2 linked regions of the Macaca mulatta genome follow. Each later gene encodes a partner of the first gene's protein in a complex. Links are inferred from orthologs where the notes say so. Each region holds a gene or a part of one and is shown on either strand. Other genes may lie near its edges. The genes, in order: DRC1 and DRC12.

Region 1 (12,150 bases):
ACGTGGCAGTTTTATCGAGTTTCTGATTCCACTTGATTGCCTTCCCCATTCCTGCATTTCACTCGGGAGAGGCAGGAGCATGCCAGCCTCCAGCCTTGCCTCTCTCTGATCTTTTTTTCACAAACTGTCAGGGTGATCTTTCTACAGTGACTGGACCAACCATTTTCCTTCCCTGCTTAACATTTTTAGTGGTCCTCCCTTGACTTCAGGATAATGCTTTAAATTCCTAGCTTGGGAAGGCTCTGCTGCTCTGTCAGCCTCATTTCTGACCATTCCTTGCCTCGTGCCTCACATCCTAAACTTCTTGTGGTTTTCCCAAAGCCTCATATATGCTATTTCCTCTCTCTAGAGTGCTCTCCCTTCCGGTGTCACCTGTGTAACTCCAGCACATTCTCTAGGTCTCAGCTAGACACACCATCTTCCAGGGATGATTTCCCTGGTCCCTCAAGACCAAGGACAGTGCTCTTGTCATTGGTCCCATAATGGTCTGGGCTTCCCTCTATCTTGCCTCTTATCCCTAGCGTTTGTTTATCTGCCTCTGTTCTAGACGGGTCAGGACTATGCCTTTCTCACTGGTGTTTTCGCAACGGCACCTCAAAAAGTATCTCACACAGATTAGGCACACAATAAGTATTTGCTGAATGAATGAATACAGCTAATGGAAATCCAAAAAGTAAGGATGACTGTGTCTGTCCTTTTAAATGAACCTGGGTTGCTAAACACTAACACTTCCACCCTGGAAGGTCAAAGTGGGGGAAATTTCAAGTTTTTGTGGCCGTATTTATTTCTATGGTGTTTTTAGCGGGGCTACTCATATTTCTGAAGGGTCTGGAGAAAGTTACCGGAGTTAGTTGGACTTGAAAGCTCTGTGATCTTTCTTAGGCGTTAGGTATACAGATTTTAGTTTACAGTTCATTGACTTGTATTTTATCTGGTTGACCTTTAACTTGACTCTCATGATAGATTTTCTAAGAATGCAGGCTGAGGCACTTGTCCCTAAGGTTCCTCTGACATGACTTGAACAATTTATCAGAAGCCTACAAGCTAGGGCCAACTAGTGTGTGAAAATATATATATATTTGTATTTCAGAGCATACCTTTATTTGTGTACAATTTTAGGTATAATTCACAGGGCAGATAAGCTTATAAATGTAGGAAAGTTTATTTTTGTATACTTCCAGTATAAACTTCTACCAATACTTTTACCTCTTTATTCTTTATGAATGTAGGTACAAAGATAAATACATCTGAATATGGAGATGCATAGTTAGGTAAATAAACATACATAAGCAGGACTATGTAAGTATATCTATGTAAATATTTACCTATACAAAGCATGTTCCCCAAAAGACATTTTAAATACGCTAGTGTATATAATACTAAGGATGCAGGTGTAGAGTTAGTGTGTGTGTGTGTGTGTATATATATACACATATACATAGATATATATATAGTTTTTTTAAAATTTTAGATTCTTGAGCAGCAGCTTCAGCAGAGGAAAGCAATTTATCAACTAAACCAAGAGAAATTAGAGTACAACTTGCAGGTGCTGAAGAAGAGAGATGAAGAAAGCACAGTGATTAAATCCCAGCAGAAGAGGAAGATCAATCGGTAAGCTAGCATGCAGAGCGTCTTTCTTCTGGGCTCTCTGTGCTGAGAATAGGGATGGATATGTACTTTTTTCTATTGAAGGGGTAGAAACCATTAAAAATATAACCAACACTTATTAAAATAGTTTTTTGGAGAAGTTAATACATTCAAGTGGTTCCCCTTCTCTCCCCAAGAAAAGAGAACATAGCAAAAGATTTTCCATCCCCATTCATCTTGTTCCTCTTTCCCACCTCTATAACCAGTTTGTCTCTTCCAGAATTTCATTAGGCATATACAAGCCCACACAAATATTCTCATCCCCCATCTGCTTTTACGCAAATGATGGCAGTCTGTACACACTGCCGTGTATCTTGAAGACCTTTCCATCCCAGTTCATAGAGAGCTTTTACCGTTTGTTAAGCTGCTACGACCCACTGTATAGATACACTATGATTTATTTGACCAGTGTCTAATGATGGACATGTAGATTGCTTCCAGCCTTTTTCCCTTGCAAATAATACCAACCTAAGTACTCATGACATGTGCCAGTTTGCTTTTGTGGAGATACCATGGCTCATTGAAAGGTACCTATTGCTTGAAATTTCTCACACATCTTCCCTTCTTCCTTGTCTCCTTAGTCCCATCCTTCCTGCCTTTCTTCCTTTAGGAATTGCATTCTAAGTTTCAGACCACTGTGTTAGGCTCTGAGGACCAGAGTGGAATAAGATTTCTTGCTTGTAGAAGGAGACAAGATTGAGGATTTCCCTCCAAACCCCAAATAGCCTATTATTATTTATGAATTCTTCCACTTGTGGGTTGGTAATACGTACATTTTGGACACATGTTGAATGTATAGACGAACATCAGTTGACATTTTGGTAGTTACTTATCACAGAAAATGATACTGAATAAATGGGATGGCATCTTAAGCCTGATTATCTGAGAAACAAGAATAGTCAGGGGACAATATTTATGAAAAAATTCCCACTATATAAGCCCCATACTAGATAGGGGAACATCCAAGAAAGACACACATCAAGACAGTGAGGAGGCACCTGGGAAAACTTCCCAAAGAAGTGAAATACTGGAGGGGGTGGGGACATGAACTGGCAAAAGGCAGTTAAGAGGAGACTCCAGGTGGACAGTGCTGGCAGCTGGGAATGGCTGGTCTGAAGGCAAGGAGGTAGGATTCAGGAAGTCCCACAGTGGGTGTAGAGAACGGGTAAGGTGGGAGGCGGGAGGAGGCGCTTGAGGCAGAGCTTGGGTTTGATGCGTGTGGCTGAGAGATGAGTGGAATCTTCCCTCTTATTTCAAACTCAGACATCTTTCCCTCAGCCTGAAAAACCCTTCAACGGACCCTGCCATTTCTAAGCACCATCTTTTCATTTCTTGCTTTCATTGCCATTTTCCTTTCCTCCTCATCACCACCCAACATTTCATAATTTGACATATCTGTTTGTGCTGCTATAACAGACTACCTGAGACTGGATAATTTACAAAGACGAGTTTATTTCTCACAGTTCTGGAGCCTGGGAAGGCCAAGATCAAGGCTGGCAGGTTCAGTTTCTAGTGAGGGCTGTATCTTTCAGAGGGGAGGGACGCTGTGTCCTCACTCAGCAGAAGAATGGGAGAGCAAGCTGGCCTAAGGCTTTGGGAGGCCTGTTTTATAAGGGCCTTAATCCCATAATCCCATTCATGACGGGGGAGCCCTCATGGCCTCATTACCTCTTAAAGGCCCCACCTCTTAATATTATCACATTGACAACACTGAATTTTGGAGGAGTTACATTCAAGCCATAGCAACCTATGACCCCAGGATTGTACAAAAACTTCCCAAAGTAGGATACCAATGATGCCCTTCTAGCCAAACGTAGTGACTTCTCCTCAGGCCTCATCCTATTATGATTGGATACTGGGTTTTCTTCTTCGGTTTAAGTGACCCTAAAATATTTGCCCTTCTTTCTTAATTTATTTGTTTCCTTTGGTGGTTCTGCTTTTCCTTGCTTGATATGTCTTGAGTATCTAGATAAGGTAATCTAGAAGACCCAGGCCTTACCATTGCTTTTAATTTTTATTTCATCTGCCACACACCTCAATCTCATGGTTTTGAATATCCCCTTTTTGTTGATGACTACCAACTTCATATCCCCAATCCTGAGCTCACCTTTCATTTACTTGGAACTGCCAAGGTAACAGTTCAGCTTGGAGAGGCCCTGTCATTTCCAGGGCACAGTTTCTGAAACCAGACTTGCCTTTGCTCCCTGTTTCCAGTTCTCCAGCTTTACTCCTCTGCATCTCTAGCTTCCAGGCACTAAGGACTCTGGACTTTTTGTTGAACCTCCTCTTGCAACCATTCTTCCCTGTTGACTTCCTCTCCTGCTATCTTGCCCGGACCTTCAGTATGCATCTGGAGTTTGTTTTGGTAGCTTTTGTAATTAGATGACACGTAGGAACTCCTTTACCACATGACATTGGGAAAAAAACCACTTTGGAATGACTACTTGTTTTTACTTCTGTGCTTGGAAAGCCTGCTTTAGTTAAGAAAATGGGTTAGCTGTTTCTTTCTATCAGAGACTAAGGTAACTACTTTTTTTTGCATTTTCTTGACGATGAAAATATGAATGATGAATGTTTGCATTTGAAAGGCATTTTGATCATTTCAGAATAATGCTTAGGAGATGGAAAATTTTATTTTTAGAATTTCTAAACTTAAAATATGTTGGCCTTCAACTTCTCTGTTACTGTGTGAATGAGACACTGATAAGAGACACCTCTGTAGCAGTTTGAAGTCTGAAGTATGGACCTGGGTCTAAAAATTGTGCCTGCCATGCATATTTTATGGGCCACGTTTCCATGCACAGAGCTCCTGTTAGCAGTGAGATGGTGAGCTGTGCCATGCCTGGATTCACAGTGCTATTGGACAGGTTTTAACTGCCTCTTGCTGTTCTGGAAATTTTGGACCATCCCCTCCCCTGCAAGCCTTGGTAAGATAGATGCCTCACCTCTGGGCTCCCCTGACATCCTGCATAAAACTCTCCTATAGCACTTGCCATGCTGTACTGTAATTAACGTTTGTCTTTGTTTTTGACTAGACTGATAGTACCTGTCAAAGATAGTATTGAAACATATCTTTGTATTCATCTTTGTCTTTCAACATATCCTTGCGCGAAAGTGGCATTTCATGCTTGTTTAATGATAAGTGAATGAGTGAATGAATGAATGAATGAGTTACTGGACCTGTTAACGGTATCAGCACTTTGAGGCTGGAAGATTTATGTATCATATGCATTTTTTTCTTTAAATTTTCCTTGCTTCATAATTGAATTAAACATCTAAGTCATGACAATGAAATAGTTGAGATAGATTATTTATTTATTTATTATTATTTTTTATTTTTTTGAGACGGAGTCTTGCTCTGTCGCCCAGGCTGGAGTGCAGTGGCACGATCTCAGCTCATTGCAAGCTCCGTCTTCCGGGTTCACGCTGTTCTCCTGCCTCAGCCTCCCGAGTAACTGGGACTACAGGTGCCTGCCACCACACTACCTGGCTAATTTTGTTTTTTATTATTTTTAGTAGAGATGGGTTTTCACTGTGTTAGCCAGGACGGTCTCGATCTCTTGACCTCGTGATTCGCCCGCCTTGGCCTCCCAAAGTGCTGGGATTATAGGCTTGAACCACTGCACCTGGCCGAGATAGATTATTTAAATATGTGAGGCTGGCCCTAGGTATGGGTATGGGCATTCTGACAAATGATGTGTTGTGAAGAAGGTTCTGTTCAGTCTTGAGTAGGAGGCTGCCTCTTGGTGGGTATGGGCTCTGGATTGCTTTCAATGCATTTCGTTTTGGACTGTCGCATGACCTCCTGTTGCCTTCCTTTTGTTGATCAAAATGGGATCTGTGTTTTGGAATATATGGGAGGGTTTTCTGCTCTTCCACAAATCTGCTCCTGAGTTTGTTGTAGAGCTGAATCAGGTGGATGAGAGCAACATACGTCCGACCTTCTATTCAGCTGCAGACTAACTTTTTTTTTTTTCCTTCAACCAGCCTGCATGATATACTTAACAATCTGAGATCAAAATATGCCAAGCAAATAAAGCAGTTTCAGGAGGAGAACCAGTCTCTAACCTTGGACTACAAACGTCTTGTGTTGCAATTCAAGGAGCTACAGAAAGCCATGCGGTATCTTAAGGACTTGGTCCTAAGGCACTTGTCCTAGCATAGAGGTGGCGGGGATGGAGTTTGTACAGGCTGTGATTTCGTTGGACTTGATATGGCCAGCTATTTTGGAGTTGGACCAGGCATTAGTTAACCCTTTGTGGTGTGTTCCCCTGGTCCTTCACTTGCGTATCACCTGCCTTTTCTTGAGATGTGTTGGGATGGCTTCCAGTTTACTGTAAGTGGGAATCAGCTGCCCAGGGATGGGGCCACGCCCAGGAATTAGCACAGCTCCTTTTCATGTTCTTTCCCTGCTGCCAATTGAGGGGACCCTGGCCAGGCCCTGGGGTCAGCTGGCCATGCTCTGTGACTCTCCTTCACAGGCATTTTGCTCTTATTGATGATGAGAAGTTTCGGGAGATTTGGCTGATGAATGAAGAGGAGGCAAAGGATCTAATAGCCAGAGCCTTTGATGTGGACAGGATCATCCACACCCATCATCTGGGGCTTCCCTGGACAGCACCTGATTTCTGGTTCCTGAAGAATGTTGGGCCTATTTCTCAGCAGCCCCAGAAGTCCGCCACACAGATAGTAGAAGAAATGCTCATGCACACAGGTGACTAGAACGTTGTCGTAGAACCTTAGAGCTGGAGGAGCCCCCTGAGAACATCGGGTTAAGCCAGTCATGTTAGAGATAGTCTAGGGAGGAGGGGGAAGAAATCCCATAGCTAGGAGGTGGTAGAGTATGATTATGGATATAGCTTGTAAGTCTCCTCTAATTTATAGCTTTGCTCTCTCCCCTGTATTATAAACTGGCAGTTAGGTCTAGAAACTTGATCAGGTGCAGGTCCAATTTATTTTTGCTAAGTACACTACTGTGTAGTACCTCCATTGGGATAAACTAATGTTAAATTGTCTCTCTTTTTGTGATGTTAGCAACCGTTGCTAATCATTGTCTAAGATCCATGAACTGTATTAGGAATTGCAAAATGGTGATATGTTAAATTCTATTCTTGTGTCTTTATTTAACAGTTAGAATACTTATTAAAAGAAAACTTTTCCTTCATCAGCAATTTGCTACCCTGAGATAGTCTGTATACGAAAAGCAGGATAGACGCTTATTTTTTCTCGCTGACCAACTTTCAAAATAATGGGTTGGTCCTCTAGCATCTTCCAAAGGTACCAATGAGTTTTTAAAAAATATTATGAATGCATGAATTTAAACAAATTTGATGTATTTTAGTTTACAAAAGTAATTATCCTTACTGAGGCTCAAATTCTTCCATCTTTGGCTAGTGGAAATCTTCACATTGGCTTCTAGGTCCTTTTGACTCAGCCCTAGTAGTTATTTATTTATTTATTTGTTTATGTATTTATTTATTTTTGAGACAGAGTCTTGCTCTGTTGCCAGGCTGGAGGTCAGTGGCGCGGTCTCGGCTCACTGAGACCTCTGCCTCCCGGGTTCAAGCAATTCCCCTGCCTCAGCCTCCCGAGTAGCTGGGACTACAGGTGTGTACTGCCACACCTGGCTAATTTTGTGTATTTTCAGTAGAGATGGGGTTTCACCATATTGACCAGGATGGTCTCCATCTCCTGACCTCCTGATCCCCCCACCTCAGCCTCCCAAAATGCTGGGATTATAAGTGTGAGCCACTGTGCTTGGCCAGCCCTAGTAGTTTTTTGTTTAATAGCGTCCTGGCTTTCCAGGATGACCAGGTGTTCAAGGCACACATTATACTTTACCTGCCTCAAGTCTGGAATCAGTCATTTCTCCAAGGATCCCCTGGTCCTTTTTAATAGGGATTTTTTTTTTTTTTTTTTTTTTAGATGGTCTCACTCTGTCACCCAGGCTGGAGTGCATTGGTGGGATCTTGGCTCACCGCAACCTCTGCCTCTCAGGCTTCAGCAATCCTCCCACTTCTGCCTCCCGAGTATCTGGGACCAAAGACTCATGCCACCATGGCCAGCTAATTTTTGTAATTTTTGTAGAGACAGGGATTTGCCATGTTGCCCAGGCTGGTCTCAAACTCCTAGGCTCAAGCGATTCCTTCCCAGAGTGCTGGGATTACAGGCATGAGCCACCATGCCTGCCCAGGGAATGGTATTTAGAAACCACACTGTGGCTGCTGGGTGCTCATTGTTTTGGATTGGCCGTTGTTTCTAGGCCTTTTCAGTGGACAGAGCCGAGAGTATAGGATTTCTCACCCCTGTAATCCCAGCACTTTGGGAGGCCAAGGCAGGCGGATCATCTGAGGTCAGGAATTCGAGACCAGCCTGGCCAACATGGCAAAGCCCCATCTGTACTAAAAATACAAAAAATTAGCCAGTCATGGCGTGCGCCTGTAATCCCGGCTACTCGGGAGGCTGAGGCAGGAGAATCGCTTGAACCCAGGAGGTGGAGTTTGTAGTGAGCCAAGATTGCACCACTGCACTCCAGGTTGAACAACAGAGTGAGCTTCTATCTCAAAAATAATAATAATAATAATAATAATTAAAAAAATAAAAATAGGCTGGGCACAATGGCTCACATCTGTAATCCCAGCACTTTGGGAGGCCAAGATGGGAGGATCATGAGGTCAGGAGTTCGAGACCAGCCTGACCAACATGGTGAAACCCTGTCTCTACTAAAAACATAAAAATTAGCTGGTGTCACGGCAGGCATCTGTAATCCCAGCTACTCGGGAGGCTGAGGCAGGAGAATCGCTTGAACCTGGGAGGCGGAGGTTGCAGTGAGCTGAGATTGCGCCACTGCATTCCAGCCTGGGTGACAGAGCAAGTCTCCGTCTCAAAAAAAAAAAATTTATCTGTGAATGTGCACAGCCACCCACCCCTGCTTTGAGTTGGCTGCTTCTATCTAATCTGTCGCAGGTTTAGAAACCATAGAACCACTTGCTAGATCATCTCTGAAATAAGAATAAACGGTCTCACACTCTCCCTCCCACTCCCTGGTTCATGGCTGGATTTTGAGTATGATGTTTCCAGGCAGATGCATTTTGGAAAAGTAGGGCATTACAGGCTGGCTGGGAATGGCCGAGTTCTCCAGGTAGTCTCTGATTCCGATCCCCCAGCCCTCCTTCCCCCTACGTAATAGGCTTTTTTCATCATAAAGAGACTGTGAGAATGCCTCACAGAGGCTTTTTGAGAGGTACATTTTTTCAGAGAAAGCCATCTGACTGTTTCTCAGAGTCAGCTAGGTCCAGAAATCTTCTTCTTTTTCTCTCTCTCTCTCCTCCCCCTGACCTGTCTGCAGAAGAGGAGGAGGCAGAAGAGGCCGCCTCGGAACCAGAGTCCTACCTGGACCTGCCGAAGCAAATTTCTGAAAAAACTACCAAGAAGATCCTGATGCTCCTGTGTGACGAGTCGGTGAGGCCAGGCGGGGGCTGCAGCAGAGGGACTCGCGGGGGTGTGCAGCTTCCGAGGCCTCTGCCGGGCCAGTGCTAGCCTGGAGTCAGGAGTGGGCCAGTCCTTCCCTGGCCAAGCCCAGGGTTGGGGCCTGAGGAGCAGAGTTGGGGTGGCCCCTGGACTTCAGGGCCAGTTCACAGAGGGCTTGCCTCTGAGCTGGCCCAGCTGGAAAATGGGTCTAACCCTGGTTGGTCAGCATGGCACAGTTCAGGCCAGCTGGAGGGCTCCTGCCAGCTTAAAATGATGCTGCTTCTGAGACAGAAGTGGCACCAGCTCCCCTCCATGAACCAACTTGCTAAGTGACGTGGCCATACTGACATGGCCCTTCTCAGGCGCTCGTGTTGGGGGCTACTCTGGGTATGTTAGGATTTGGATGTTTGCATTGTGTGTTAGCAAATATGGTTAGACTTAGAATAAAAGCTGTATTGAGCTGGTTCAGCTGGAAGTCGGGTTTTGATCAAACATGGGCAGTGTTGGTTTGGATCTTATGGTTCTGAAGTGGGTGTTCTTTTGGGATAGTGGGGGCAGTTGCCTTTGGCTGGCTCCTGCCACTGAGGGCAGCTGCTGCTGAAGGGGTCAGGTGGCAGGTTCTGCCCTCTCAACCTGCAGCTGGATGCAGAGACCCATGGAGCCCTCCCCCAGGCATCCCAGCTCAGAGCAGGCACCGTGTCTGCTCAGCCGCCCTCTCCCCTCCACCGCAGGTGTGCCGTGTTTTGGTTTGGGGTGCCCACTGCCCTCCGTGCCTCCCTGGCCTGCTGCTGTGTTCTGTAGATATTTGGGGACAAGACTATGAGTGAAGCAGGAGCCTGTGACTGGGTCAGCTTTGGACTGTGGTGGGGGCCTCAGGAGTTTGCCCAGTGGCTTGTGGGTGAAGTGGGTTGGTGCCCTTCTGGGTGGGAAAAGCTAAGTCTGTGGTGAGGATGGGCTTTGTCCCTGGCCTTGCTTGTCCCTGGCCTTGCTCCCTGGGGAGGGGGGTGCTGATGGGCACCCTGAGAAGGCTTTGCTGGGGCCCACTGCTGGCTCCCATCCCTGTGTGTCTGCTCCATGGCATGGTCCCTGGAGTGTTACACAGGGGGCAGCTGCAGACCCTGGGGCTCGCTCCTGAATCGTTTCCCCGACAGGAGATGCCTTCTTCCTTCTCCCCAGGGGTTCCTCATAGAGAGCAAGCTGCTGAGCCTTCTCCTGCCCCTGGAGCAGAATGAATGCTATCTGTTGAGGCTGGACGCCATCTTCTCCGTGAGTCCCACGGGGCTGGGAGGACACGGGCAGGGCTGAAGCCAGCTGTGTTCTCAGATGGCCCTGCCATTGCCTCAACCCTGGCAGTGGATGAGGGTCTCCCGGGGCTTCCCCTGCTCCCTGTCACATCCTTCCCTTAACCTGCTCTCCACACAACACATTGGCCTCAGACTCGCTGCTGTGTCTCCCACCCCTGCCCCTTCCTCTACTAGCATCTTCCTCTCAGGTTGTAGGTTCTCCCCGACACCCCCAAACTCAGATCTGGTCTCCCCGACACCCCCAAACTCAGATCTGGTCTCCCCGACACCCCCAAACTCAGATCTGGTCTCCCCGACACCCCCAAACTCAGATCTGGTGCAGCCCCACTTGGTACCCTCACAGCCAGGGATCCATATGGAGCAGTTCCTGGCTCTATGAGCATTGTTTCTGTGTGTTCTGATGTGTGTGTCCCCAAGTTCACAGTCGCTTCCCAGCGTTGGATGAATGCCCTCCATAAGCCAAGCCTCCTGCTCTTAGGAGCTGAGCATCCATCAGCTGCCCAAGCCCGTGGCCTCTTTGATGGGGTGTTTGAGCAACCATCCTGTTTTTTGCCCCAGGCCCTTGGAATTGAAAGTGAAGATGACTTGTATAAACTGGTGAACTTCTTCCTTAAATATCGAGCTCACCGTTTATCTTCCAGTCTCCAGGTAAGGCAAGGTGCAAAGAGAAGAAAGCATTTTATTTATTTATTCATTTATTTATTTAATTATACTTTAAGTTCTGGGATACATGTGCAGAACATGCAGGTTTGTTACATAGGTATACACATGCCCTAGTGGTTTGCTGCACCCATCAACCCACCACCTACATTAGGTATTTCTCCTAATGTTATCCCTCCCCTAGCCCCCAACCCACTGACAGGCCCCGGTGTGTGATGTTCCCCTCCCTGTGTCCATGTGTTCTCATTGTTCAACTCCCACGTATGAATGAGAACATGCGGTGTTTGGTTTTCTCATCTTGTGGTCGTTTGCTGAGAATGATGGTTTCCAGCTTCACCCATGTCCCTGCATTTTCAATTCTCCCAAAGCCCCCAGAGCATGGTACTGCCTTTGAGTAGTACTTCTGGAGACACAGCAGTGCTTTTATGTCAGGTATAGCTAACTTAGCATTTTCCTTATTGTTTATCAGTTTGTCTCTTTGTAAAGGGAAGAATGGCTTGGGGGTGAGATGCTGTTCTTACACTGAGGCCCAAGGAATCTTTTCCTGCACCCTCCCTCACAACCAGGTCTCAGCCACTGTAAGAGCAGAGCCCACCTGGTTCTGAATATTTTGATCCTTAACACTTTCCCGCAAGGCAGGGCCCATTTGTCCTACATATATTGATTGTAATTGATTTCAGAAGGTGAATCAAATATTAACTATTTTAAAGAAATTGCCATATTAAAAGTTGTATAACGTTTTAATTTAAAAATGAAAAATGTGGGCCAGGCGTGGTGGCTCAAGCCTGTAATCGCAGCACTTTGGGAGGCTGAGGCGGGCAGATCACGAGGGCAGGAGATCGAGACCATCCTGGCTAACACGGTGAAACCCTGTCTCTACTAAAAGTACAAAAAAATTAGCACGGCATGGTGGCGGGCGCCTGTAGTCCCAGCTACTCAGGACACTGAGGCAGGAGAATGGCATGAACCCGGGAGGCGGAGATTGCAGTGAGCTGAGATCGTGCCACTGCACTCTGGCATGGGCAACAGGGCGAGACTCCATCTCAAAAAAAAAAAAAAAAAAAAGAAA
Region 2 (12,873 bases), on another chromosome or scaffold:
ACCTGTAAGATTTCCTCATACTTTGCCTCCATGTCTGCCACGTGGGTCCGAAGCTGAGACAGGGCCTGGTCCCGCTCTCTTAGAGCTTGTTCAGCCTCTTCCCGGGCAGCCGCAGCTTCCTTTTGGCATGCCTCTGGGGGCAGGCAGGATGAAAGACAGCAGGATGGTGACACTCTATCCTTGACCAGTCTCCAAAGGTATCTGGAAAGGAGACCTTGAATGGGCTCATTCCAGACTCCCCCAGCATCACCAACTTTCCTGCAGTCCCTGTAAAAGCTGAAGCTCCACTGAGGTGTAGCAGAGAATGGTGGGCTTGAGACAGAAGGCTCCAAAGTCGGATTACTACCTAGGTGACCACAGACATGTCTCTTTCTGAGCCTCAGTGTCTTCATCTTTTTATTTATTATTTATTTATTTAGATGGAGTCTCACTCTGTCACCAGACTGGAGTGCAGTGGCATGATCTCGGCTCACTGCAACCGCCGCCTCCTGGGTTCAAGCAATTCTCTTGCCTCAGCCTCCTGAGTAGCTGGGACTACAGGCACATGCCACCACGCCCAGCTAATTTTTTAATTTTTATTAGAGACAGGGTTTCACCATGTTGGCCAGGATGGTCCCTATCTCTTGACCTCGTGATCCGCCCACCTCAGCCTCCCAGAGTGCTGGGATTACAGGCGTGAGCCACCGCAGCTAGCTGGTGTCTTCATCTTTAAAGAGAGAATGACACATCTCTCAGGGGTATGCTGTGACCTTTAAACACGATGATGGATGACAAAGCACCTAGCTAGTATACAGGAAGTGCTCCGTAAACATTGATTCATTGGCCGGGTGTGATGGCTCACGCCTGTAATCCTAGCACTATGGGAGGCCGGGGAGGGCGGATTACCTGAGATCAGGAGTCCTGGCCAACATGGTGAAACTCCCATCTCTACTAAAAATACAAAAATTAGCCAGGCATGGTGGCACACATCTGTAATCCCAGCTACTCGGGAGGCTGAGGCAGGAGAATGGCTTGAATCTGGGAGGCAGAGGTTGCTGTCAGCCGAGATTGCGCCATTGCACTCCAGCCTGAGCAACCAGAACGAAACTGCGTCTCAAAAAAACAAAACAAAACAAAACAAAAACAAAAAACAACAACAACAACAAAAACAATTGAGTTATTGATTGACTTGGAATTTGAGGTAAAGCAAAGATTAGGAAAGGAACCCAGGGTCTGAATGGCAGATAAGCAGCTCCTGGCCATCTATAGCTAAACCAAAGGCTTTTTTTTTTTTTTTTGGTCGGAGTCTTACTCTGTCACCCAGGCTGGAGTGCAGTGGTGCGATCTCGGCTCACTGCAGCCTCCGCGTCCTGGATTCAAGTGATTCTTCTGACTCAGCTTCCCAAGTATCTGAGATTACAGGCACATGCCACCATGCCCGGCTAATTTTTGTAATTTTAGTAGAGACGGCATTTCACCATATTGGCCAGGCTGGTCTCGAACTCCTGGCCTCAAGCAATCCTCTCGCCTTGGCCTCCCAAAGTGCTGGGATTACAGGGGTGAGCCACTGAGCCCGGCTGAAGGCATTTTTAAGGTATGAACACTTTGGGACCAAAATTGTGCAAGAGCTCATGTGTCATGCTGAGATATTTCAACATTATTTTGTAAGCAGGAGGCAAGAGAAGAGAAGCAATGGCTTCCTAGTTTTTAAAAATATTTTTGCTTATTGGGAGTGTTTATTCATTTATTTAGTGAACAGTTATTTAGGACCTACCGGGTGCTAGGTCTTGTAAGTAAATAAGTCAAACATTTTCCCTTAGTTTCGTTGTAGAAATCAGCTAAACTAAAAGGGAATATGTTTTGCTCACAAGAGACATGGCAGTGGTGGGGAGTTAGGTAGGGCTGGACTTGGAGAGGAGGAAATGGGGTGTGACGCCTACCTCTTCTTTTTTATTTTTATTTATTTTTTTGAGACAGAGTTGCTCTGTCGCCCAGGCTGGAGTGCAATGGCGCGATCTCGGCTCACTGCAACCTCTGCCTCCCGGATTCAAGCAATTCTCCTGCCTCAGCCTCCCGAGTAGCTAGGATTACAGGTGTGCGCCACCACATCTGGCTAATTTTTATATTTTTAGTAGAGACAGGGTTTCGCCATTTGGCCAGGCTGTTCTCGAACTCCTGACCTCAGGCGATCCGCCCGCCTTGGCCTCCCATAGTGCTGGGATTACAGGCCTGAGCCACTGCGCCTGGCACCTCTTCTTTACTTACAACAGAGATTCTTGGCATCCCGAACCCTCTGCTCCAGTCCTCGATGGTGGAGGGTCAGTGAAAGTGGGGAAAGTGATCCCAGAGCCCGGGTGGCAGCTTTCTGGAGCAGAGACTTTGAAGTCTGCCCCTTCATGCTGGCCCTTGCTGCAACTCTTGGAGACAAGGGGCTTGGGGGGTGGGGAAACCTACCTAGCTGCCCCCGAAGGCCCTTGACTTCTTCCTCCAGCTGCTTGCTGCGGGATTGCATATCCTCCTGCAGGGCATGGCACTGGCGACTCATCTCTGGGGTGGGGGCAGTAGGCCGCCAGGGACCCAGGTCGGAGATGGAGCGATGGAGAAAGGAAATGAAGTTGTGGGTGGGGAAGACTCTACTTGGTCTAGTGGAACAGGAGCACAAAGGCCTTCTTGGTTCTTCTTTTTCTTTTTTTTTTTTTTTTTTTGAGACGGGGTCTCGCTCTGTCGCCCAGGCTGGAGTGCAGTGGTGCGATCTTGGCTCACTGCAAGCTCCGACTCCCGGGTTCACCCCCTTCTCCTGCCTCAGTCTCCCGAGTAGCTGGGACTACAGGCACCTGCCACCACACCCGGCTAATTTTTTGCATTTTTAGTAGAGACGGAGTTTCACCATGTTAGCCAGGATGGTCTCGATCTCCTGACCTCGTGATCCGCCCGCCTCGGCCTCCCAAAGTGCTGGGATTACAGGTGTGAGCCACCACTCCCGGCCCATGGTCTTCTTGGTTCTTTTTGTGATTCTGAGAAGCTAGAGACCATGAAAACCTGAGGAAGGGAAAGGAAGCCCAACCCACCTCCCCCACCGTCCAGCTTTGGATGGGGATGCTAGTCCTTCTCCCCTCCCATAGGATGGTTGAGGTGATGGCTATGACTGCATGCGTATCCTACACAGCATCAAGCACATGGCACCAGGCATCCTGGCAGGCCCCTGCCTGGGATCCCAGGAACCTACCTGCCTTTGATTCCTGCAGGATCCTGCCTGATTTGTACTGTTCGGGGAAGACCAAGACCAGGCCTGGCAGTTGGAAGCCCTCCTTGTTTCCCTTCCTTGCATCATCTGACCCTGCTGGTTGTCTTCCTCCAGGCCCCTGTCTCCTGCCCACCTGCTCAACAGACCACACACCTGCATATATGGCCTTCCCTTCACTTCGGGCCCCTTCCAGCTCAGCCTCCACCCTTTGCAGCCTCTGCTTCAGCTGGTCTTCGGAAGCCTTGGCTCGACGGGCTTCATCCCTCCGTAGAGCTGTGAGCAGTCCCAGAGCCACTGTCAGGACTGGCTGGGGCCCGCTAAATCAGCCCCCATGAACTTGATGAATTTTGCCCGTCTCTAGAAATCTGGTGGCGGGGCGTCCAGCCTCTTATTCTCTCTCTGGGTTTTGTTGTTTTTGTTTTTTATCCCTAGAGTCTCACAGGCTCCTCATTATTAAGAAGTAAAGACTCTCTCCATGTTCTGCCTATACAAAATAGCTTTCCGGATAGCCCGGCATGGTGGCTCATGCCTGTAATCCCAATATTTTGGGAGGCTTAGGTGGGAGAATTGCTTGAGGCCAGGAGTTTGAGACCTGCCTGGGCAACAGAGTGAGACCTTGTCTCTATAAGAAAAATAAATAGGGCCAGGCGCAGTGGCTCATGCCTGTAATCCCAGCACTTTGGGAGGCCAAGGTGGGAGGATCATGAGGTCAAGAGTTCGAGACCAGCTTGGCCAACATGGTGAAAACCTGTCTCTAATAAGAATACAAAAATTAGCCGGGCGTGGTGGCTGTGTGCCTGTAATCCCAGCTACTTGGGAGGCCGAGGCAGGGGAATCACTTGAGCCTGGGAGGCAGAGGTTGCAGTGAGCCAAGATCACGCCACTGCACTCCAGCCTGGGCAACAGAGCACAGGACTCTGTCTTAAAAAAAAAAGATAGTAAAATAAAATAAAATGAAATAATAAAATAAAATAAATTTTAAAAAAGAAAAATAAATAAATAAATAAAGTAGCTAGGTAGGGTGGTGTGCACCAGCTACTCGTGAAGCTGAGGTGGGAAGATTGTTGGGGTCCAGGAGTTTGAGATTACAGTGAGCTATGATCACACCACTGCAGTCCAGCCTGGGCAATAGAGCAAGATTCTGTCTAAAAAAAAAAAAAAAGCTTCCTTTATCAACTCTCACTGCCCACCCCTCTCTCATTGTCTTTTTCCACTAGGGGATGGTTAGGGTTCAACTTAGCCCCCCACTGTATCTCCAACTCTCCAATCCCCCAGGATACAGAAATGCCCCATTTCACTTGCCCTGTTGCCCACCCCCATGCCAACTTCTACCCTCCTTACCCAAGTGATCTCGGAGCAGCTCCTTCTCCAGCACCACCAGCCTGTGCCTGGACTCAGCCTCCACATCTGCACCTGCTGTGGCAAGTGGCAGAGCCTCAGCTCTTCGTGATCTCAGCATTCCTCACTCTCCTTGCGTCCTCACCCCACACCCTGCACTTTTGCCACAGGAGACCTGAGGACCACTAAATGAGGGATCCATGGTGGCAGAGTCTACTGAAGTCAGCACTGTGTCCTTACCAACCAGCACATAACAGATATGCAAAATACACATGACAAATATATTAGGAAGGCACAAAGCTAGATGGTGCTTAAAGGAGAGCGTGAGTGACCATTTCCCCACTTCCTCAGCTCCCTGCATCTGACTTCAAGGACACGAAAGAGGAAGGTCAAGAGAGTTCCATCCTGTCATGTAGAAGGCTGAATTCTCTCTGGAGGAGCTCTGCGTGGTCTTCATGCCAGAACATGGAGAAGCAGGGGGCACCTCCACCCACCATGACTCACCCCAGTTCTTTTTCTTCTGCGCCCCAGATTTCTTCCCTTTTTCTTTGTTTTTAAGTGGCATCTCCTTGCTGTCCTGGGAGAAGGAGGGGACCTTATGTTTAGGTCTGGACACAGGGATGCTTTCCTGACTGAATCAGGAGTCTCAGGGGAGTCTCCTGGTTCTACTCCAAATTTGTATCTCATACTCTTCAGAAAAGTCAGTTCACAGTCTCTTTGGAACCTCAGGCAGGGTTGGGGTCAACGGGGAGGGTGAAGTTTTTTCTCTCAACCAGGCTGACTGTACGGAAGTCACTCCTCACAACTCTCTTTTAGATAAATCCCTGTACCTGCTCCCCTCCCTCTTCCCATCATCCTCAACCCCCTCTTCCTACCTGTAGGATCCTCTCCTGCCAGTGTTGGGGCTCCCTGTGGAGTGACCCACCCGTGGGGAGTGGCAGAGAGAAGGCCCAACTAGCGAGGAGCCTGAGGCGGGGCCTGGGTCCTGGGAGCCAATCCTTGGTGACAAATTTCTCTTGAGGGCAGGACTGAGGGCTGGAAGGTTGGGTTTCGGGAGGCTGTATGTTGTCCAGGCAACTGGGAAACATGGAGTTCGTAGGAAGGTGGAATGGGCTAAATCAGCTCACAAAGCTTAAAATATCAAGGTCTCAAAGGGTCAGTTCTTTCCTTATCCCAAAACCCTAAGTATAGTTTGAAAAGAAAGGGCTTTGGAGGCCGATTGGTTATGATTCATTGCCACGTAGACATGGCCTGCAATTTGGAGACTTCCAAATTCAGATGTACACATCTGAGATAATATGTTGTGCTGATACAGAGGAAAAGGACTGACAGTAGCCATGTTGGACAATTGACATCCCGAGGTCCCATCAGCAAAATGACATTAGTAGGTTTAAAACTGAAGATCTAAGCTGGGGGCGGTGGCTCATGCCTATAATCCCAACATTTTCAGAAGCTGAGGCAGGAGGATTACTTGAGGCCAGGAGTTCAAGACCAGCCTGGACAACACAGTGAGACCTCATTTCTACAAAAAATTAAAAAATTAGCCTGGCAGGGTGGTGCACACCTGTTAGTCTCAGCTACTCGGGAGGCTGAAGCAGGAGAACCACTTGAGCCTGGGAGGTTGAGGCAGCAGTGAGCTATGATTGCACCACTGCACTCCAGCCTGGATGACAGAGGGAGACCCTGTCTCAAACAAACAAACAAACAAACAAACAAAAACCCCAAACCACTGAAGATCCTCTTCAGTACACTGTGGAATGAGGGTAATAAGTACAGGAATAGGTAGTCGAGGGCGTTTCCCACTTCAGAGAAATGAGACACAAAGGAACAGCAGACCCATGGACTCTAGGGTACTGACCTAGAGGGATGCAAGTGTGCAGGAAAGTGCTCAGGTTAGAGACAAGACATTTGAGTTTGAGTCCCAACTGTGGATATGTAAACTGAGGCAAGCCATTTGACTTTGCTCAGCATCAGTTTCCTGATCTTTAAATGTTTGATTTTGTAGCTCTTGAAAAGCCTGTGTTTTAGCTAGGTGTTTACATGGCTATCTTCTCTCCTAGTTACTTAATCTATTGCTACATTTCCCCATTCCCTTGTGTGGTTGATTTTCAGACAGGTGTTGAGACATTGCTTTGTGAGGCTCCCTGCAGCATAGAGTTGGTTGGGGCTCCCTCTAGTGGACTTGTTTGACCTTCTCCTGAGTTTCCCACATTTTTGCTTTTAAATTATTTACTGGGCAATATTGGGGGTGACTCCCTTTGGGGATACTTCTTAGTGTCCTGCTGGAGCCAGGAGTGGCTGGAATAATTAATGTGGGGGAGAGAGTATGACGGGTGGCCCTCCCTTGTCAGGCAGCCTTCACTCTCCCTGCAGCTCTGTGCTATCCTGAGGCTTGCCATCTATCTGCCACTTGGATCTCTGGGCACCATACTGGTTAGAGTGAAAACAGCAGACACTTCAGGGCTTTTCTCCTTTTGGATTAGGGGACCTGCAGACCGTTTCTTTAGGTTTTTTGTTTGTTTGTTTTGTTTTTGTTTTTGTTTTGAGACAGAGTCTCGCTCTGTTGCCCAGGCTGGAGTGCAGTGGCACGATCTCGGCTCACTGCAAGCTCCACCTCCCGGGTTCATGCTGCGACTGCAGGCATCCACCACCACGCCCCGCTAATTTTTTTGTATTTTTAGTAGAGATGGGGTTTCACCGTGTTAGCCAGGATGGACTCGATCTCCTGACCTCGTGATCCACCCGCCTCGGCCTCCCAAAATTCTGGGATTACAGGCGTGAGCCACCGCGCCTGGCATTTTTTTTTTCTCAGTGTCTCTCTCTGTCACCCAGGCTGGAGTGCAGTGGCATGATCACGGCTCACTGCAGCCTCAGCCTCTCCAGGCTCTGGTGATCTTCCCACCTCAACCTCCTGAGTAGCCGGGACTATAGGCGCATGCCACCACACCTGGCTAATTTTTATATTTTTTGTAGAGACGGGGTTTACCATATTGGCCAGCATGGTCTTGAACTCCTGGCCTCAAGTGATCTGCCTGCCTTGGCCTCCCAAGGTTCTTGGATTACAGGCGTGAGCCACTGCACCAGGCTATCTTTTTTTTTCAGACAGAGTCTTGTTCTGTCACCAGGCTGGAGTACAGTGATGTGATCTCGGCTCACTGCAACCTCCACCTCCTGGGTTCAAGCAATTCTCTGCCTCAGCCTCCCGAGTAGCTGGGATTACAGGCACCCACCACCACGCCTGGCTAATTTTTGTATTTTTAGTAGAGATGGGGTTTCACCATCTTGGCCAGGTTGGTCTTGAACTCCTGACCTCGTGATCCACCTGCCTCAGCCTCCCAAAGTGCTGGGATTACAGGCATGAGCCACTGCGCCTGGCCTTCTTTCTTTAGGTACTTCTCTTCAACTCTGTCACCCTCAATATTTTTGGTCCATTGCCTATTGTCAGGAGCAGATCTGTAGAAATAGCCACAAGAGGCTGGGCATGGTGACTCATGCCTGTTATCCCAGCACTTTGGGAGGCTGAGGTGGGCAGATCATGAGGTCAGGAGTTCAAGACCAGCCTGGCCAACATTATTAAACCCTTTCTCTACTGAAAAATACAAAAATTAGCTGGGCATGGTGGTGTGCGCCTGTAATCCCAGCTACTTGGGAGGCTGAGGCAGGAGAATCGCTTGAACCCAGGAGGTAGAGGTTGTGGTGAGCCAAGATCACGCCACTGCATTCCAGCCTGGGCAACCAGAGCAAAACTCTGTCTAAAAAAAACCCGTGGTCTCTGCAACCCCTTATTGTGATCCAGACATTCCTTTCTATTGATTCCAGATCTTTAGATAAGAACTCTTTCAAGCAATTGTCAATTGGAAAATCTCTGAATTCACTTATGACCCGGAACCTAATTCTAACCCTAATTCCCTTACCCACTTCCTCACTTCCAGTTGTCCTGCCTTTCTAGACCGAACCAATGTACATCTTACATGTATTGATTGATGTCTTATGTTTTCTTAAAATGTATAAAGCAAGCCGGCGCAGTGGCTCACGCCTGTCATCCCAGCACTTTGCGAGGCCAAGGCAGGTGGATCACCTGAGGTCAGGAGTTCAAGACCAGCCTGACCAACATGGTGAAGCCCTGTCTCTACTACAAATACAAAAAATTAGCCGAGCATTTTGGTGGGTGCCTGTAATCCCAGCTACTTGGGAGGCTGAGGCAGGAGAATCTCTTGAGCCCGGGAGGTGGAGGTTGCAGGGAGCCGATATTGCGCCATTGCACTCCAGCCTGGGCAACAAGAGTGCAATTCCGTCTGAAAAAAAACAAAGATGCAAAAAGCCAAATTGTAGCCTGTTCACCTTCAGCACTTGTCAGGATCTCCTGAGAGTTGTGTCACGGGCCATTGGTCACTCATATTTGGCTCAGAATAAATCTCTTCAAATATTTTACAGAGTTTGACTCTTTTCTTTGACATGAGACTAATGTTAATAAGTTCTGATAGCCCACTACCATCAGACCAGCTTCTTCTAATCTTGAGCATGTTTTTCATTTATTCTCCCTCCACCACCTCCTTCTCCTGTGCTGTAATGCAGTGGGGGTTCCTGTCCCTGTCCTCCTCATCTAGAAGCCTGTTTGGGAGGTTTTTCTTTTTCTTTTTTTTTTTTTTTGAGACGGAGTCTCGCTCTGTCGCCCAGGCTGGAGTGCAGTGGCCGGATCTCAGCTCACTGCAAGCTCCGCCTCCCGGGTTCACGCCATTCTCCTGCCTCAGCCTCCCGAGCAGCTGGGACTACAGGCGCCCGCCACCTCGCCCGGCTAGTTTTTTTTTTTTTTTGTATTTTTTAGTAGAGACGGGGTTTCACCGGGTTAGCAAGGATGGTCTCGATCTCCTGACCTCGTGATCCGCCCGTCTCGGCCTCCCAAAGTGCTGGGATTACAGGCTTGAGCCACCGCGCCCGGCCTGGGAGGTTTTTCTTTCTTTCTTTTTTTTTTTTTTTTGAGACAGTCTCACTCTGTGGCCCATGCTGGAGTGCAGTGGTGTGATCTCAGCTCACTGCAACCTCTGCTTCCTGGGTTCAAGAGATTCTTGTGCCTCAGTCTCCAGAGTAGCTGGGATTACAGGCATGTGCCACCACATTCAGCTAATTTTTGTATTTTTAGTAGAGATGGGGTTTCACCATGTTGGCCAGGCTGGTCTGGAACTCCCAATCTCAGGTGATCTGCTTGCTTTGGTCTCCAAGTGTCAGGGTTGTGTGAACCCGAGCAACTCCATCTTGAAGAGGAGCTGGGTAAAATGAGGCTGAGAACTACTGGGCTGCATTCCCAGAAGGTTAAGGCATTCTAAGTCATAGGATGAGATAGGAGGTTGGCACAGATACAGATCATAAAAACCTTGCTGATAAAACAGGTCGCAGTAAAGGAGCTGGCCAAAACCCACCAAAACCAAGATGGTGACGAGAGTGACCTCTGGTCGTCCTCACTGCTACACTCCCACCAGCGCCATGACAGTTTACAAATGCCATGGCAACATCAGGAAGTTACCCTGTATGGTGTAAAAAGGGGAGGCATGAATAATCCACCCCTTGTTTAGCATCTCATCAAGAAATAACCATAAAAATGGTTATGTCTATGGAGTCACCATTCTTCTGTTCCAACACTTTCCTAATAAACTTGTTTTCACTTTACTCTAGAGTCGCCCTGAATTCTATCTTGTGTGAGATCCAAGAACGGTCTCTTAGGATCTGGATCGGGACCCCTTTCCTGTGACAAAAGTGCTGGGATTGCAGGCATGAGCCACTGAGCTTGGCAAATTTTTGCATTTTTTACAGAGACAGGGTTTCCCTATGTTGCCCATCCTGGTCTCGAACTCCTGGTCTCAAGCAATCCATCTGCCTCAGCCTCCCAAAGTGTTGGGACTACAGGCAGGAGCTACCTTGCTTGGTTGGAAACTTTTTTTTCCGTGGAATGATTAGTGTCCCCATTACTTGTTGATGTAAAGGAAAAGACTGGCACAAATTTAAGCAGAGAGTTTACTTGGGCCAAGTTTGAGGACAGCAATCCAGGAGCATAGATTCAAGTTGCCCTTGACAATAGGCTTAGATTAGTAGCAGTTACAAGTGTGTGTGTGTGGGTTTTTTTTTTTTTTTTTTTTTGAGATGGAGTTTCACTCTTGTTGCCCAGGCTGGAATGCAGTGGCACAATCTTGGCTCACTGCAACCTCTGCCTCCCGGTTCAAGTGATTCTCCTGCCTCAGCCTCCCGAGTAGCTGAGATTACAGACTCCCACCACCAAGTCTGGCTGATTTTTTGTATTTTTAATAGAGACAGCATTTCACCATCTTGGCCAGGCTGGTCTTGAACTCCTGATCTCGTGATCCGCCTCCCAAAGTGCTGAGATTACAGGCGTGAGCCACCAGGCGCGGCCAACAAGTCTTTTTTTTTTTTTTTTTTTTGAGACGGAGTCTCGCTCTGTCGCCCAGGCTGGAGTGCAGTGGTGCGATCTCGGCTCATGCAAGCTCCACCTCCCGGGTTCACGCCATTCTCCTGCCTCAGCCTCCTGACAAGTGTCTTTTTAAAGGAAAAAAGAGGCCAGGTGTGGTGGCTCATGCCTATAATCTTAGCACTTTGGGAGGCCAAGGCGGGAGGATCACTTGAGGCCAGGAGTTTAAGATCAGCCTGGGCAACCTGAGACCACCACCACCCCACCGAAAATAAATAAATAAATAAACAAACAAATGCAAAGAAGAGGCAGTTCCTAAACTGTCTGCTAATCATTTGCATTAACATAGCGTAAGGTATTTGATTGGCTGTACGTTGTATTCCAGGAACATGAAGATGATGGGTGAGGCAGCTAGTCAGGGACCAAATGCCTTTAAACCACTGCCCCCAGGCATGGGTCGGGGGTTTGTGACTGAAGTCCCATACTCATGTTTCTCTGGGCCTGATAATTTTGCATACCTCACACAGTTCAGACAGTTTTGAGCTACTTTTCTTTTCTCATCCTGATGCATAGAATGACATTAGAATAGAGATTGCAGAATATAAGCAACTATACCCCAGAAGAGAAAGTAGTTTACAAATACGTTCAGTCAATGGACTTTCCTTTTTTTCTTTTGAGACAAAGTCTCGCTCTGTGCCCAGGCTGAAGTGGAGTGGTGCGATCTCGGATCACTGCAACCTCCGCCTCCCAGGTTCAAGGCATTCTCCTGTTTCAGCCTCCAGAGTAGCTGGGATTACAGGTGCCCGCCACCACGCCTGGCTACTTTTTGTATTCTAGCAGAGATGGGGTTTCGCCATGTTGGTCAGGTTGGTCTCAAACTCCCGATCTCGAGTGATCCGCCAGCCTCGGCCTCCCAATGTGTTGGGATTATAGGCGTGAGCCACCATGCTCGGCTCAGTCAATGGACTTTCAGGTGCGGAATGAGGATGTGGTTTGGGGTGAAGGTGAAGTGGGATAAGAAAAAGGCTACATGTTACACGATGTGATGCAGGATGAACCAACTCTAGCATAATCTGGAATGGGAATGACATTGTGATCAACAGTCCAATCCCCTCTCTTGTACGTTTTCTAAAACAAGTCAAATAAAAATTGTGGCCTGGCGTGGTGGCTCGCGCCACGCCCAGCTAATTTTTTTTTTTTTTTTTGGAAAAAATAAAAGGTAAGAAAAGGGCAATCTTCCTTTTCTTATTAACCTTACTTTATTTATTCTTTTTTTTTTTTTTTGACAGAGTTTCACTCTCGTTGCCCAGGCTGGAGTGCAGTGGCACAATCTCGGCTCACTGCAACCTCTGGCTCCCGGGTTCAAGTGATTCTCCTGCCTCAGTCTCCCGAGTAGCTGGGATTACAGGTGCCCGCCACTAAACCCAGCTAATTTTTGTATTTTTAGTAAAGACGAGATTTCACCATGTTGGCCAAGCTGGTCTCCAACTCCTGACCTGAGGTGATCCGCCCCCCTCGGCCTCACAAGGTGCTGGGATTACAGGCATGAGCCACTGCACTGGGCTGAATGGATTGGATTTTAAAGCACACTTCAGGCAGAGGGAATAAGGAACTGTCTGAGTAATGGTGATGAAGAAAGAAAGAATTGCGGTGGTGCGGTGGTCATGCCTGTGATTCTCAGCACTTTGGGAGGCCGAGGAGGGCGGATCACCTCAGGTCAGGAATTGGAGGTCATGTCAGCTTGGCCAACACTGTGAAATCTCGTCTTTACTAAAAATACAAAAATTAATCAGGCATGGTGGCAGGCACCTGTAATCCCAGCTACTCGGTGGGCAGCGGTTGCATTCAGTCGAGATTGTGCTACTGCGCTCCAGCCTGGGTGACAGAGAGACAC

What was found.
Region 2: DRC1 (region 1) and DRC12 share a complex: the UniProt entries of both Homo sapiens proteins name them as parts of the nexin-dynein regulatory complex. The link is inferred for Macaca mulatta from reciprocal best matches to the Homo sapiens genes DRC1 and DRC12.

The regions. Positions count from the first base shown.
Region 1 is NC_133418.1:98,558,717-98,570,866, reverse strand, and holds part of DRC1 (dynein regulatory complex protein 1), read left to right. Parts: intron 1-1,471; coding exon 1,472-1,611; intron 1,612-5,634; coding exon 5,635-5,769; intron 5,770-6,128; coding exon 6,129-6,361; intron 6,362-8,995; coding exon 8,996-9,108; intron 9,109-10,293; coding exon 10,294-10,383; intron 10,384-10,979; coding exon 10,980-11,069; intron 11,070-12,150. UniProt on the Homo sapiens protein: Component of the nexin-dynein regulatory complex (N-DRC) a key regulator of ciliary/flagellar motility which maintains the alignment and integrity of the distal axoneme and regulates microtubule sliding in motile axonemes.
Region 2 is NC_133419.1:119,880,366-119,893,238, forward strand, and holds the start of DRC12 (dynein regulatory complex protein 12), read right to left. Parts: upstream 5,695-12,873; 5' UTR 5,650-5,694; coding exon 5,437-5,649; intron 5,139-5,436; coding exon 5,066-5,138; intron 4,640-5,065; coding exon 4,565-4,639; intron 3,497-4,564; coding exon 3,377-3,496; intron 2,613-3,376; coding exon of another isoform or gene 2,527-2,612; coding exon 2,434-2,526; intron 202-2,433; exon of another isoform or gene 134-201; coding exon 3-133; intron 1-2. UniProt on the Homo sapiens protein: Component of the nexin-dynein regulatory complex (N-DRC), a key regulator of ciliary/flagellar motility which maintains the alignment and integrity of the distal axoneme and regulates microtubule sliding in motile axonemes.